Tamandua tetradactyla: one gene and its partner. The protein of the gene in region 2 binds, or shares a complex with, the protein of the main gene of each other region. Links are inferred from orthologs where the notes say so. Each region holds a gene or a part of one and is shown on either strand. Other genes may lie near its edges.

Region 1 (7,274 bases), on a different chromosome or scaffold from region 2:
GCAGATGCAGAGAGCATTCAGAGCACAAACCCTCATCCCTTGGCACACTGTTAAATGTCTAACATCAAAGAGAAGATGCTAAAATCTTGTCGGGAGGGAGAAAGTCACCCAAAAGGAATAGAAGTCTTCTTGGCAGGTTTTTCATTAAAACTAAGAAGCCAAGTTTAAGACAAGTTATCCTCAACAAACCCAAAAGTGTGTAAAAGAAAAAATCCACGATGATACCTGTGAGGGCGTCAAGAGTAATTAGACAAAGAGGACAGAGGACTCCAGGTTGGAGATTTGATACTCTCCTTGAGAATTTAAAACATTATTTAAGAAGAGAAAGAAAGGACCTTACAGAAAAAAGAAAAAAACGAAAGCTGTACATGAAGGCAAATGCATCATGCAGCTGTGAAGCAAACAATATTTTCATCAGTCATGCTATAGATAACTGCATTAACTGAACATGAGGAGAGAGAAGAGAGGGGATATAGTATGGGGAGATAAACCGGCCCATCACAGCAGAAGTTAAGTTGGTAAAATGGACAAAAGTTATTACCTTGAGCTATGGAGAACTATCTGAAGAAACAAATAAAAGTTTCACGTCTTTGAGGAAGGGTACCAAGAACTGGGACAAGGGCTGCTACTTTTCTTGTGTACCTTACTCAAATGAAAAAAAAAAATGCTCACTGTGGGTGTGTGTTATTTCCTTTAAAACACTTCTGGCAGGGTGGGTTCAAACACTGGCTATGTGACTCGGGCACGGCACTCAGCCGGCATGGGTGTCAGTCTCCTCATTGGTGAAATGGGGACAGCTCCTACCAGGGGTTAGGGAAAGAAAGAATGAATGGAGCCTCAAGCACATGCTGCAGCTCCAGCATGACCAGAGCGGACACTGAAGGTTGCCGCCCCCTGTCATGGTCGGTAACCAACTCTCGGAGTCTGCCCAAGCCCTGCTCTAAGCGGCTCTTCCAGGACTCTGCCGAACTTTATAAGCTGCCCCTTGGCATCCTCTTGTTTTGTGTGGAGCACTTCTTCCATTTCCCAACTGGGAAGTAGCTGCCACTGGGAAGAATTGTCTCCTGTTTTTAAGTCCTTAATTAAATCTCATGGGTAATCTTCTGCCTGGCGTGTTTGGTCCTGGGACTAAAATCGGTTGGAACACATCTGAAAGGCCCAGCTCACAGTATATGATCCGCAAGTGGCAGCTGTTTCTTTAAAAAGTAAAGCCAACAATACTAGAATCCAACAGTCTCAGTGGACCCCTGGGCATCAGAACCCTTTCCCACTGCAAGACAATAAGAAAATGGACGTATATGTGTAGAATTAACGCTACAGGCAATTCTGGTGTTTCCTTTCACCACTCCAGATCATAAGCTGGCACACAACACACTGTCCTAAAAGCAGAATGTTAAATCACTGGGCCATCTACTTTCTGACTGAATGTGCCCCTCACTAGCTCTATTCTGGGTTCTTTTCTGTCTCTTGAACAATTAACTCCTGTCTCCTCTCATCAAGTTTATTACAGTGCCAGTTTTATCAAAGCTAATAGGCCTTGAGTCCTGGGGCAGAAGAGAGAGGAATTACCTGTCCCACATCGGGAGACTCGAACTTGGCCCTCCACAACTTAAAGGCAAGCTCCCTATCCTTGAAAGGCCACAGTTGTCACAGTTCTTCGGGCAGCATTCATTTCTCCAATGCCAACCCAATCCCTACCATCTCATCATTCGGAAATTACTCCTCTATTAAGGCAGTGTCTCCACTGTGCTCACATAATGGGAAATGGAACTTGCATCTACTTTTTGCAGCCTGGGGTGGGGAAGGGGAGAAAAAACTAAAGCCACATTTCAAAAAAATTACATTTCAGAAATAAGAAGAGTACAGGGGGAAAAACCCCGAAATCCTCAACCAACTGGATTAGATCATCTCTCAAGTCGGACGTTTCCTACTTCTAAGACTGCACCTTATTTGCCTTTGCAACCATCAGAATCACAAGTGTTCTGGATTACCAGTGTGCCATTTCACTTTAGTAACTTAAAAAGTAGAGAAAGAGTCCAAAGAAATTAAGTCTACGACACCCCATGACGTTTATGGCACACGATGAACGCGGGGGTGTTGTGCGTTCCAGATTTTCCCGATTACCCAGAAAAGTGAAAACCCAAGCATGCCCTAACTTTACAGCCAGAGCCGTGCATGCGCCCAGGGCGACCCCGAAGTCCAGGGAGGGCAGGCGGTGTGCCCGCAGCCCGGAGCGCCCCGTCCTCGGCCTGCGAGTCAAACCAGGGCTCCGCACGTCCCGGCACTCGCCGCCTCCCTCAGGTGGGAAAAGCCACGGCCAACGGGTCCGCCTGAACCCCCGGCGCCCTTCCACGGCTAACGGGAACCTGGGGACCAGGGGAGCGCGAGGCGCGGGGCGGCCCGGGCCTGGCAACACCTCACCGCGCCAAGCGGGCGCGCTCAGCCGTCCCTGGCCGGGTCCGTACGTACCCCACGCCGCTCGGGGGAAGGGGGGAAAGGCAACCGCAAAACCACCGATACGCGGCCGACGCGGCGCGCCCAGCTCCCCGCCGCAGGCCCTTCCATCTCTGGGCGCCGGGCACCGCGAGCTCCCCTTCCAGCTCAGGCGGAGGGCGGCCCCCGCCGGCACAGAACGCGGAAGAGGGCCCGGCGGGTGGGCCGCGAGGCGGGAGGCGAGGGCAGGCCGGGGCGGTGCGGGCCGCGGCGCCGGGGGCCGAGGCCGCCGGGCGGGACCGTTGGCGGGGCCGACGGGGGACGCGGCGGGGGCGACGGGGCGGCCGGGGCCAGGGACGGGCGGAGGGCGGAAGGGCGGGAGGGAGGGGGAGATCTCGCTCTCGCTCTCGCCCCGCGGGAAGGGGGGGAGGCGGAGACGCGACCGGCTGCGGGAGCTGCAATTACCGTGTGGGCTGCGGAATTCTCGTGGTGTTTGTCGGGGAGATGCGATAATGGCGTCCGTCCTCGCGAGAGAAGCCGCCGTTCTGCGCAAGCGCCGCGCGTCCCTCCCCGCGGCCCTCGGGCCTCCGCACTCTGCGCAGACTCAGTGCGCGCGCCGCCGCCAGGGGGCGGAGCCCGCGGGTGGGGCCTACTGCTCCGCGTCCGCCGGTGCGCCTTTTCGCCGCTCACACGACGGTGCGCATGCGCACGCGTTCTACACTCCCTCACGGGATCTGTGGCCTCCTGGGTTCTTATTTCCCCCCTATATACTCGGTCTCCTTGCTAGTCCGTGAACGATTGTCTCAGTGGGTCGTTTGAGGGATTTGCAGGGTCTTTGAAAATGGATGACGAGGATTAACATCGCGGGTGACTACGTATCCCAGGATGCCCTGCGCAAGCTCCTAGCAATGCATTCTGGGACTCGTAGTCCCACCGCCCGACCCATGCCTGCCGGTACTTGTAGTCTTTCCGTCCTCCGGCCGCCCCGTCCCGTCCCGCCGCACGGGCTGCTGGGACTTGTAGTTCAGGAGGCTTGCGTTCGCGGCCCCCCGTGCGTCCCGCATAGATATAATCTTTGTTTCATATGTAATATATAATGTCTGTTTTATGCAATATAAACGCACGACATACTAATATGGATATAAATTTCATCTTGTATGGCGTAAGTGTGACTTTTGGGGTTCTCATAGGAAAAAAGCCCCGAGCCATATCACCGCGCGGGACCGGGACACCCGCGGAAACGTGCCCGCTTCCCGCTGCGCGCCGAGATGCCGCGGCTTCTCCTCCCGGCCGTGCCGGCCCCGAGCTTCGCGCTGTTCGCAGTGGGAGGAATCACTTCGATCTCGCAAACACAAGCGACGGAGCAGTTTCGTGTTGGCAGAAGAAAGCGACTCACCTGGCGTTTCGCACTGACCCCGCCTCAAACCGCGCAGCTGGGCGGCCTTGCCCAGCCCGAGGCGCCTCCCGCCCGGCGCCCCGGCCTCCTCCCGCCACGTGCCTTGAGACGGTTCAGAGAGCCACGGAGGGCCCGCGCTGCAAAAGGTGTGGGAAGACCTGCAGGCTACCACGAAATCGCCCCTTGTTCCAGATGAGGGACAGGCCGCGCAGGGTCATGCAACCGGACGGGCCGCGCAGGGTCATGCAGCCGGACGGGCCAGGTCATGCAGCTGGACGGGCCGCGCAGGGTCATGCAGCCGGACGGGCCGCGCGCAGGGTCATGCAACCGGACGGGCCGCGCGCAGGGTCATGCAGCCGGACGGGCCAGGTCATGCAGCCAGACGGGCCGCGCAGGGTCATGCAGCCGGACGGGCCGCGCATAGGGTCATGCAGCAGGATGGGCCGCGCAGGGTCATGCAACTGGACGGGCCGCGCAGGGTCATGCAGCCGGACGGGCCGCGCACAGGGTCATGCAGCCGGACGGGCCGCGCACAGGGTCATGCAGCCGGACGGGCCGCGCACAGGGTCATGCAGCCGGACGGGCCGCGCACAGGGTCATGCAACCGGACGGGCCGTGCGCAGGGTCATGCAGCCGGACGGGCCAGGTCATGCAGTCGGACGGGCCGCGCAGGGTCATGCAGCTGGAAACAGGAAAAGGCCGAGTTTGGAGTTCACAGCCCCTCAGCTGGAACCCGGTCTTGGGCCAGATCAGGTGGGGAGGAGAGGCTGCAGAAGTAAGCCCCGAAAATTTCCCGGGGGCGTGGAGGGGAAACTTACCCCCTCCTCTCACCTCCACCCCAAACACTGCCAAAACTCGCACATTTACATAGGCAAGAATTCTTCACGTGGATCCTGAAAGTCAGACTAGAAGGCGGATAAACTGGAGGTGATATTTTTCATCTTGTGTCGGAACCTTGTGGATCCCTTGTCAGTAGCACCCCCTCCTGTGGGCATCGCCTGCGGCCCCCAGGCCCCTGCTGGGCGGGCAGGAATGACTGAAGGCCTGAAGGAATGATAAAGGTTGACACATTCTGAACCATCCAATAGACTAAAAGCTAAAGACTTCCAAATCATTGCAGATTAGCACTGTATCAGAAATTAAGGTGATCACAATTATAATTACAGTTATGTTGAACTCATTGGCTTCTCTTTAGATTTTTTTAGTTCATTTATTTTTCATATTGCTGCCCCATAAACTAAGATAGAGGCAGGTGCTATTAAAATATTGATATCTGGTGATGAGCCATGATTTTTAAAATTGGATAGGTAGTAATCGGCCAAGCCGGCTACCTTCCAATAAAGTTCCGCTTAGTCACCAGGGGGGCCCTTGCCCTTGTCAGACAATGAGTGCGAGAACCCAATCCAATTTCCTGTACAGTGGCCTGGAGTCTAGCACATGGGGGCTGGAGGGATCTCAGTTCACACGGGGTCACTGAGGGCACCTCTGCAGGGAGCTGTCCCTCGCAGGACGCAGGTCAGTGAAGGGTTGAGCCGAAGGTCTGGCCCAGGACGCAGGTGGAGGCCAGCCAGCCCTGAGGGGTCCATCCTTATCCCAAAACAGTGGGGCATCTGCAGGGCATTGGACCACAGTAGGCCTGGCAGATTGGCATCTTGAAAGGTCACCCTGGCCCGAGGGCTGGAAAATGGATTAGAAGGCACCCGAGGAGCTGGGGGAGAGGCCAGCGGAGGCTGGGTCCAGGCCAGAGGCCATGTCGCAGTGGAGTCCGCGTATAGGGAAGGGGACAGAGTCATCGGGACCTGAAGATGAGTCTGGTTCAGAGCAGGGAGCAGGGAATGGTGCCAGGACAGTCGCCAGGCTTGGGCACAGGCATCATCACCTGGCCACGGTGTTGCTGACCCTGAACATCCCCTCCTGGTGGTTGGCCACTCCACGGGACCTGGGGCAGTCAGCACTCTCTAGGGAAACAGAACCCACAGGAGAGATCTACAAATATGAGATGTATAAAGGCATCGCATGCAACCCTGAGAAGGGAAGAGTCCAAAACCCATCGGCAGGATGTAAGGCTGTTGTCTCTGATGAAGGGTCTAGATGAACTCCACGGAAAGGCTCGTGGCTGGAGAAGCAGTGGAAGAGTCTCTCCCCTAAAGAGCCTTCAGGTGATTGGATTATCTCATTATGGGGCACATGCCTTAGTTGATTGCAGATGTGATCAGCCATGGATGCAGTCAAGTGACTGATGATTTAATCCACCAGCCCTCTGGTTCATCAACCAGCCACAGAGTATTCTGCATCAACGGTCAGGCCAGTGAGTGCCTGACCAGACCACTGGGCATCAGCATTTGGCCAAGTTGACACCAGACCCTCACGGTCACGGGCCCCTTGGTGATTCCCTGCCCACCTCCCCCCCAACACACACACACACCTTTTCTGTTTTGTCTGTGCAGTAGGATGATAAAACCTGCCTCGTGGTGCCTGACGGAGTTTAGAAGCCCGTCATAGAAAGCCTTTACTGCAGCACTTGGCACAAGGGGACACTCAGTCCCAGAAATGTTGTTACCTGTATCTACATGAAAGACGTAGATGATGCATCTACTAATGAAGTAGTCATAGCAGTGCCATGGCCCACTTCGTAAGCTCCAAGGGCTGGGCCTTTGCCTAAACCGTGTAATAACCTCCAGTCTGTCTGCAGATTGCCACTCTCCTTGACTTCTTTTTCCCCTCTTTCTTTTTAGTTGTGACAAAATGCACATAATATTTACCTTTTGAAGGTGTACAGTTCAGTGGCATTGAGTACATTCATGATCTTGTGTAACCGTCACCATGATTTTGTTCTAGAACATTTCCGTCCCTGCAAAGAAAGCCCTGCCCCCAATAGCAGTCACCTCCCCCTACCCCACGCCCACCCCTAGCCCCTGGATACCCGTCTGCTTTCCGTCTCGATGAATCTGCCATACTGCACATCTCGTACAAATGGAACCAACCAATGTGTGACCTTTGGTGCCTGGCTTCTTTCTCTCAGCATGCAAGGTGCAGTGTGTATGTGTCTGCGCTTCGTTCCTTCTCATGGTTGAATAGCATCCCATCGTCTGGCTGGACCTCATGTTGCATATCCACTGCTCAGTTGGTGGGCATTTGAGTGTTTCCACCTTGGGCTATTGAGAACGCTGCTGCTGTGAATATGAGTGGACACACTTCTGCTGAAACACCTATTTTCAGTCCTCTGGGTACTTCCCTAGAATTACTGGGTCTTATGGTAGCTCTGTGTTTAACTTATTGAGGAACCACGTATGTGACTTCTTAACAAGACCCTTGGTCGTTTGGAGTCAAAAGGTGCTGACTTCCTCACTTGTTTATAGTTTCTCTGTGTCTGGAACGTCCTGTTTTTGCCATCCTTTATCACCTAGAACAGCAGTCTTCAGTTTGGACTATATGTTGAAATTAC
Region 2 (7,060 bases):
TTCCTTTCCTTCACCATTGGCCTCTAGCCTGAGAAAGGGGCCAGCAATAAGGAATAACAGACAGTAAGGCAATCTTACAATGTCAGAAAATGTATTTGGCTTTTTTTTTTCTTTTTAAAATAAGTGCATACAAATACAGCTAGAAGCATTTCTGATTTGCCAAGTGCTCTAAAAAAGCAGCGCAAGTCACAGCCTACATTGAACAGTAACTGTCACCAGAATAATAAAGCACAAAGATATGCTAATAACATTAACAAAAGAAGAAAATGCCTTTATAAGTACATACCTTTTGTCGTCAAAAAAAAAAAAATAGAAACACAATGTATTCAAAAAAAAAATCAAAATTATACAGCCATGTTTATGAAGTCTACATTTCCCTTGTCTTGGATATATGTGTGTGTGTGTATGTATATATATATGTTATACACACACACACACACATACATATATGTATGGAGATATATATACAATTCAAGCAGTTTTAGTCAAGGGCAATCATTGGGTTTTTCTGAAACCGGAAAAGTCACGAGTCTCTTTCTTTCTTCACTTTCACATCTCCAGCAAGGATGGTTGCAATTTCCCCCTGCATAAAGGCCCATGGGACATTGGAGCCCACAAGAGGGCATTTTTCCCCACTGGGACAATAGACCTCTCCACTAGCTCCCTGCTGTTTGATGCTTTGTCTGGAGCAAGGGAAGCAGAACTTGTGCGAAGGGACGGAGGGGCACTGCACAAAGTGGGTGTCCTCCAGCCGCTCGTGGCAGAGGGTGCAGCACAGTGGGGCACTGGCTGCCAGAGAAGAGTCCGGGAGGCTGGCAGGGTGCACTGGCTCCAGTCCTCCTGTGGTGCTTGCCCCCTGGCCGCCCACATCTCTGGGGCCCAGCCTTCTTTGGTTCATAGAGGACGGAGAGGGTGGACTGCTGCTATTCCTCCTGGTAGTGGAGTGAACCTGGTTGGCATCTTTGGAGGCATGACTGCCCCCTGCATTGTCTGCTACTAAGATCAGGGCTGCCATAGGGGACTGGCCATTCTGGGCCGCTTCAGGCGGTGTGGTCCGGTTGGAATGAGGTGAGGCAGTGGGTGGTGGTGGAGACACAAAAGAGGATGTAGGAGTCATAGGGATCTTGAGCCCTTCTGTTGAGGTGGACAGCCACGGCTGTGCCTCTCCATTGATTTTAGGGGCCCCAACATCACCTTCTGGTTCTGGAGAAGGCTTCCTTTTCCTTGCTGTTCTTGCAACTGCGAAAACAAAGAAAAGGAAAAGAGGGGATAAATAAAGATGCACTGAAAATCATTCTTTTATCAAAGTGAAACAAACCTCATTAGGCAATTTTTATTCTCTAAAAGCATTATATGTATAAACCCGTGTTTCCAGCTTAAGTGCAACTTGAAACACTTATCTTTAAGGAGCTCTGAAATAACTATCTATTAAAAAGAAACCAAGTTGCAGGAAATGACATGTATAAAAGTGCCTGTTTTTAAACTGCATTAAACTGGATGTGAAATTACACATGCATACATGTACCCCAGTTTGAATTGTGCATGTGATAATGTCCCCAGACAGGTTAAAAGGTGACCGGTGCCCTCACACTCCCGTCTAAGAATGTGCTGGGAAAGGAAAACCCTGTGTCAGTGCCTATCAGCCCAGTCTGACTCATCTCTGTTATGCTGCTTCAGCACATGAACACGTTGCCACTAAGCACTGGTTCCGCCTCAGGCAGATCAGGAAGTTGGGTGTTTGTTATTTCTGGGGGTTGGGATAGAATGGTGAATGGAAAGAACAGCCCTCTCTCCCCTAGACCCACTCACTCCACAGCCGCCCCTACCTGCTTTAGACCCGTTGGCCCCGTTGGCCTCGAAACCCAACAACCTGCCTGCAGTCAGGGCCGGCTCCTTCTTAAACTTGCTCTCGAAGGGCCCGGAGTGGCCGTGCTGGTGCAGCGCCAGCAGCGTGTCGCGCACGGTCTTGGGCCTATTGACCCAGTCCTGTTCCCCTGGCCCGCGGCCTTTGCCAGTGCCCTCTGCGCCTAGGTCTGTGGCCCCCGCCGCTGCGGACAGGCTGTCGGCCGGACCCCGGTGCGAGGGCGGCGGCGGCTGCTTTTCCTTGGTCGCCGCTTCGCGCTGCTCGTGCTCCACGGCGGCGCTGCTCGACACCGACGCCGGCCGCTTGTGGGCGCCCAGCTCGGCGGGCTGCGCCGGGCCCAGGCTAGCGGCGGCGCCCCCGGATACCGCGGCCAGCGAGGCGGCGGCGCGGCTGCTGAGGCTCAGCGCGGCGGGCAGCGGCGTGGCCGAGCCGTTCATGAGCGGCACCAAGGTGGGCGGCACCGCGTGGCCGCGCCGCGGGTTCGGGCTCTGGCGGTTCAGCTCGGGTGGCTCCTCGAGCTTGGAGAAGCCATTGGGCACCAGGATGCCGTTCACCGGCGGCGGCTGCGGCGTCGGCGGCTGGGGCAGGCCTGTCGCCTGGCGGCTCCCGCTGAAGTCGGATCCGAGGCGCGGAGGGCGCTCGGCCGACGCGGCGGGCGCCAGCGGGTAGCGTTCCAAGGCCTGAGGGGCGCGCGGGGCCGCCTCGGGGCCGCCGTGGCCGAGCTGCTGCTGCTGCTGCTGCAGGAGGATGTCCTTGGCCGAGAGCGGCGGCGGTGCCTTGGCAGCGGCCGAGGCCGCGGTGCCGGGCGGGGAGCGGCCCTCTTGGAAGCAACCGTGCGCCCGCTTCAGCTGCCGGGCCGTCTCGATGACAAACTCGACGCGGTCGGCGCCCTCGTAGTTGACGCAGCCGCGGCACACGGGCTCGGTGAAGTCCCAGATCATGGCCCAGGGCATGCGGGGTAGGTCACACAGGTAGCATGACTGTCGCCGGGACGCGGCCGCCACCGCCACCGCCGCAGCCATGTCCGAGGAGCCCGCGGTGCAGCAGCAGAAGGAGGAGGAGGAGGCGCCGCCGCCCCCCGCCGGCAACACACGCGCCCTCCTCCCCCCCCAACCTCGCGGCTCCCCCACCAGAGGCGGCGGCGGCCGCAGCGGCGGCGGCGGCGGCAAAGCCCGCGAAGGTTCGGCGCCCGCACAGCGCCCCCGGTGCACGAGAGGCGGGGGGCGCGGGGCGAGAGGGTGCAGCCGCGGCAGCAGGTCCCCCCGGCGGGTGCGGGCGGGCTGTGGGGCGTCGCGGCGCGGCGGGCGCTGCAGCGGGGGCTCGGCCGGGGCTGCGGCGGGTCTCCAGACCGGGGCGAACACGGGCCGCGCGGACGCGGGGGAGTGCAGCAGGTCGCGGCGGCCCGCGCTAAGTGAGGGGCGGGGGGCGGGGAGGTCGGGGGGGCGGGGGGAGGGGGGCGGCCGCCGGGGGAGGCTCAGCCCGAGTGGCGGGGCATGCCGCGCCGAGGCGGCGGCGACCGGTGCGCGTGGAGTTAGGACGCAGCGCGGGCTCCCGGGTCGCTCCGCCGCTCACTCACAACTCCTGCCGTCGCCGCTCTGCCTGCGCGGGCGTCAGCGCCCTACCCGCTTCAGCTCCGCCGCCGCCGACGCTGCTGCTGCTGCTGCCGCCGCGGCCGCTCCACTTCTACAGACTTGATTCTTCGACAGCCTCGCACGGCGCCTGCGCGCAGCGCCCCCTCCCCTCGCGCGCGCGCCCGCTGCTCGCGCCCTGGCGCTCGTCCCCCTCCCGCCCCGCGCGGCGCTCCGGGAACTTGTGCCAGGAGCAGAGCGGCAACAACCAGCTCCCCTCTCGGAGTGCTGGCTCCTCTGCAGCCGCGGTCGAGAGGGAGGAGCGGAAAGGCTTTCCAATGTGAATGTGATGCAAATGTTGTTTTTCTTTTCCTCCACTTTCCTTTCCTCGCTCTCCACTCGGCTATATCGACTTGTCAGTCAGGGCTTTTTCCCCCGCCTCATGTCCTTTTTGGTCGAATCTCGGTAAAACCGTGTTTGTTTGTTTTGTAAACGATGCCACTTTGCTACTTGGTTTCTGCCAATAAGCTCTGGAGGATGGAAACTTTAAATCTAGCGTGATTTACACAAGGGTTTTTTTTTTTTTTGAGTTATATTTGAAATCCGAATGAAGGACGCGTAGTTACAAAATCAGGGTAGCATGCCTTTACACTTTTGTTTTGTTTCGGAAAAAGCCACATGCACCATTTGTACCGTTTAAGTTTTACAGACACTGAAATGTTTCCCAAACAATGACAGGGTTAAAATGCCTCCGGTTGCAGTGTGGTTGATGAGTTGTGTCAGTTCTATCGTAATTACAGATTTCAATTATTAAAATTTCTGATGAAAACAAAAAAAAATTCCGTCCGGTTGGCCTGTGAATTTTTCATTAAGTCCCCTTGGAAAGGGAAAGGAAGCGCCGTATAAATAACACCCTCACTGATAGATCTCGTTTCTAGGGTAGCTGGTGCAGGAACACAGCCAATGGACAAAGTTTTTCTTCTCTGCCACGTTACGTTACTCCTTCCTTCCTCATCCACCGATTTCCCCAGGAGCTCGGGACCCGCACCGTACGCAAGGGGACCCTTGAGGGTCGCTCAAGAGGCCGCGCCGACCGCGCCGGGCGGCTACGGGCCGGGCGGGGCGCGCGGGCCGCCTTATGTAGGTTAGAACGGGGGCAGGGAGCCGCCGTGACGTGCGCGCCGCGGCCCATGTGCCGCCGCCGCGGCCGCGGACTGCGCATGCTCCGCACGGACGTGACTCTATGCAATTGGCACTTGCAGCCTCATTAAACGAAATGCACATTCCAGGGATCCGGGGAAACAGAGCGCGATCTATAGCCAGCGCCTCCGCGTCACGGCGCAGGCACCGCCCCCCTCCCCTCCACCACCCCCACCCCCCGCCTGCTATTTCTGGGCCTTCAGGTCCCTCCCTCAGCCCTGCTAAACTTTTTACTCAATGTAGCGAGAGGCTCTAGTACAGTGAAGAGAGTGGGTGAAATGCCGCGGTGACGGCCTGCGAGGTCCCCGCCAGCGCAGAAGGGTGTGCGGCTGCCCCTCCGTAGAGGGAGACTCTCTGGGGCTGGTTTAGGGGCGACTACACGACGGTTGTCGTGGAGGGGCGGGGGCTGTTCGCAAGGCGGCGCTTACTTGGTGCCGTGATGGAGGGGCGGGCGGTTTTGTCCCTGTCTGGAGGCCGACACAAGTTTATCCTCAGGTGCCAACAAACCCGCCTAGCGCGAAGGGTTTGCGATTGCAGACCCGCGAAGACCGCGCTTGCCTGCAGCTGTTGCGGTTATATAGACTCGAGCCCGACTGAGTTGAACACTTGAGTTTCATACTTTTATCGGGAGGAGGAGCTGATTTGTTTTCTGGTAAATCACTTGTGGCTGGTCATTAGTCTTACTGACTAATAGACGTGGGCTTAGTCACTCAATTGGGATTTATACACTGCAGCTCTGAAGGGCGGCCTCGGGAGCTTCTTTTGTTAGGAACGTAGGCCCACATCTTTCCCTTCGACTGGAATGAGCTGGCTAAGTGTGAAGTACTAATTACATGATCTTTCCTACAACTGGATTGGTAGGTAGAGAGAGGGAAAAAATCCTGCTGACGTTTCTCTTGTTGCTGTTGAAAATGCCAGGTTGGTCGAAGGGATTAACCACAAGGAAAAGGGGGGAAAGCCCTCAGAGAAACAGTGGGGGGTGCTGCTTAAAGCATATGAAAGAAAAAAAAAACGCTCTAAATGGCAGAAAACGCAATGCCAGACGGAAATGTTTTTTACAGGCTAACCTGAATCAGTCTTTTCTTGAGAATATCTAGAGAAAAAGGTGCGCACGCCTAAATGACTCCCCATGGTGTGTGTGTGTGTGTGTGTGTGTGTGCATGTGTCCGCCCCCCCCCGCCCCGCCTTGCCCTGCAGTTGCAATCCCGCCTCACCCTTGCTTGTAAACTGGGAGAATGGAGCCCGCCCACATCCCTCCTGAGAGCTGCGGGCACGCGTGGGGTTGATCACTCCCCGGCACCTGGCTGTGGGGGTAGTGCACCGCCTTCAGGACCTGAGGACCTGTTCCTCCAAGCCACTTTCTGGGCTAAGATCTTAGGCCACTAACTTCAACCTATGACTTGGCCCAAGGTTCCCCCGCCAGAAAGAGACTAACCAACTCAGCACCCCTCCTCCAAGATATCAACCCCCCACCCCCAGGCAGACTGGAACATATTCAAAGAAAATACGTTAGAGCCATCACCAGCGGGCACAGTGATGGACTCAAGGGAAAGCCTACGGCCCCATCCCAAAATAGAAATACTGAAATACAAATTCAGCCTTGAAAGGTTCTAAGGCAGGATCTTTTAGAACAGAGCTTTTCTTCTGCAAAAGAAGAGCACTTCCTTTTCATTTTACATTGCCAGTTTAATGTCGAAACTGAGTTGTTGTAACTTCCCTAACGAAATGCCTGCTGGAAAATAGAAAGGCTATTTTAGTTCTGGGCTCCCCTGCCCTAAAAGGATCCGGGATCAGGAGGGTTAAGACTGGCCCTGGATCCAGGACAGCAATTCCTTATATTGTATCAAAAGTCTTTCATGCTGCCTGGCCTTTCCTGTAGCATTGAGGCAGCTTTATCGATGTATGCTAAGTAAACATAGCTTTGTTTTTGTCTTCCACCCACCGCCCTGCCTCTAGGCGCAGACTGGAGTTGGATCCCTTCCAAAGCGGCTGCTGCAGCAGTTACAGCCGCCTCCTCCACACACAGGAGCAGGGTTTCTAGGGTGAGGCAATGTGTCTGCAATTCACAGAGACAAGGCAGGAATTGTAATTGTACTTCATCATGTGATGACTTATGAAAGAGGAAGTTGGTATGTTTTAGTCACGTAGACTCTGCCCTCTTGCTTAAGGTTCCAGGTCCTCTCAAAAGAGAATTATCGTAATCTTTGCCACTGAGGCTCGAGGTTACGGGGTTTGGATGCAGTGTGCGCCTACACATTCATATGTAGACAGGCAGGCAGAGGCAGTGAGTGTTGGTGAGGCGGCGGGTTGAGCCTGGCTTTAACTAGAACACTGAAATGCTGCCATTTATCTCAAGAACTAAAGGAAGTGTACTGTGGGGAACATTCCTGCTGAGACCAGAGGAAGTAAAAGTCCTTCCCAGTGCTAA

What was found. The genes of interacting proteins can lie anywhere in the genome.
Region 1: IRF2BP2 (region 2) and BANP share a complex: the UniProt entries of both Homo sapiens proteins name them as parts of the corepressor complex. The link is inferred for Tamandua tetradactyla from reciprocal best matches to the Homo sapiens genes IRF2BP2 and BANP.

The regions. Positions count from the first base shown.
Region 1 is NC_135342.1:82,348,095-82,355,368, reverse strand, and holds the start of BANP (protein BANP), read right to left. Parts: upstream 3,013-7,274; 5' UTR 2,899-3,012; intron 1-2,898. UniProt on the Homo sapiens protein: Controls V(D)J recombination during T-cell development by repressing T-cell receptor (TCR) beta enhancer function. Binds to scaffold/matrix attachment region beta (S/MARbeta), an ATC-rich DNA sequence located upstream of the TCR beta enhancer.
Region 2 is NC_135333.1:4,779,484-4,786,543, forward strand, and holds IRF2BP2 (interferon regulatory factor 2-binding protein 2), read right to left. Parts: upstream 3,074-7,060; 5' UTR 2,887-3,073; coding exon 1,827-2,886; intron 1,240-1,826; coding exon 524-1,239; 3' UTR 75-523; downstream 1-74. UniProt on the Homo sapiens protein: Acts as a transcriptional corepressor in a IRF2-dependent manner; this repression is not mediated by histone deacetylase activities. Represses the NFAT1-dependent transactivation of NFAT-responsive promoters.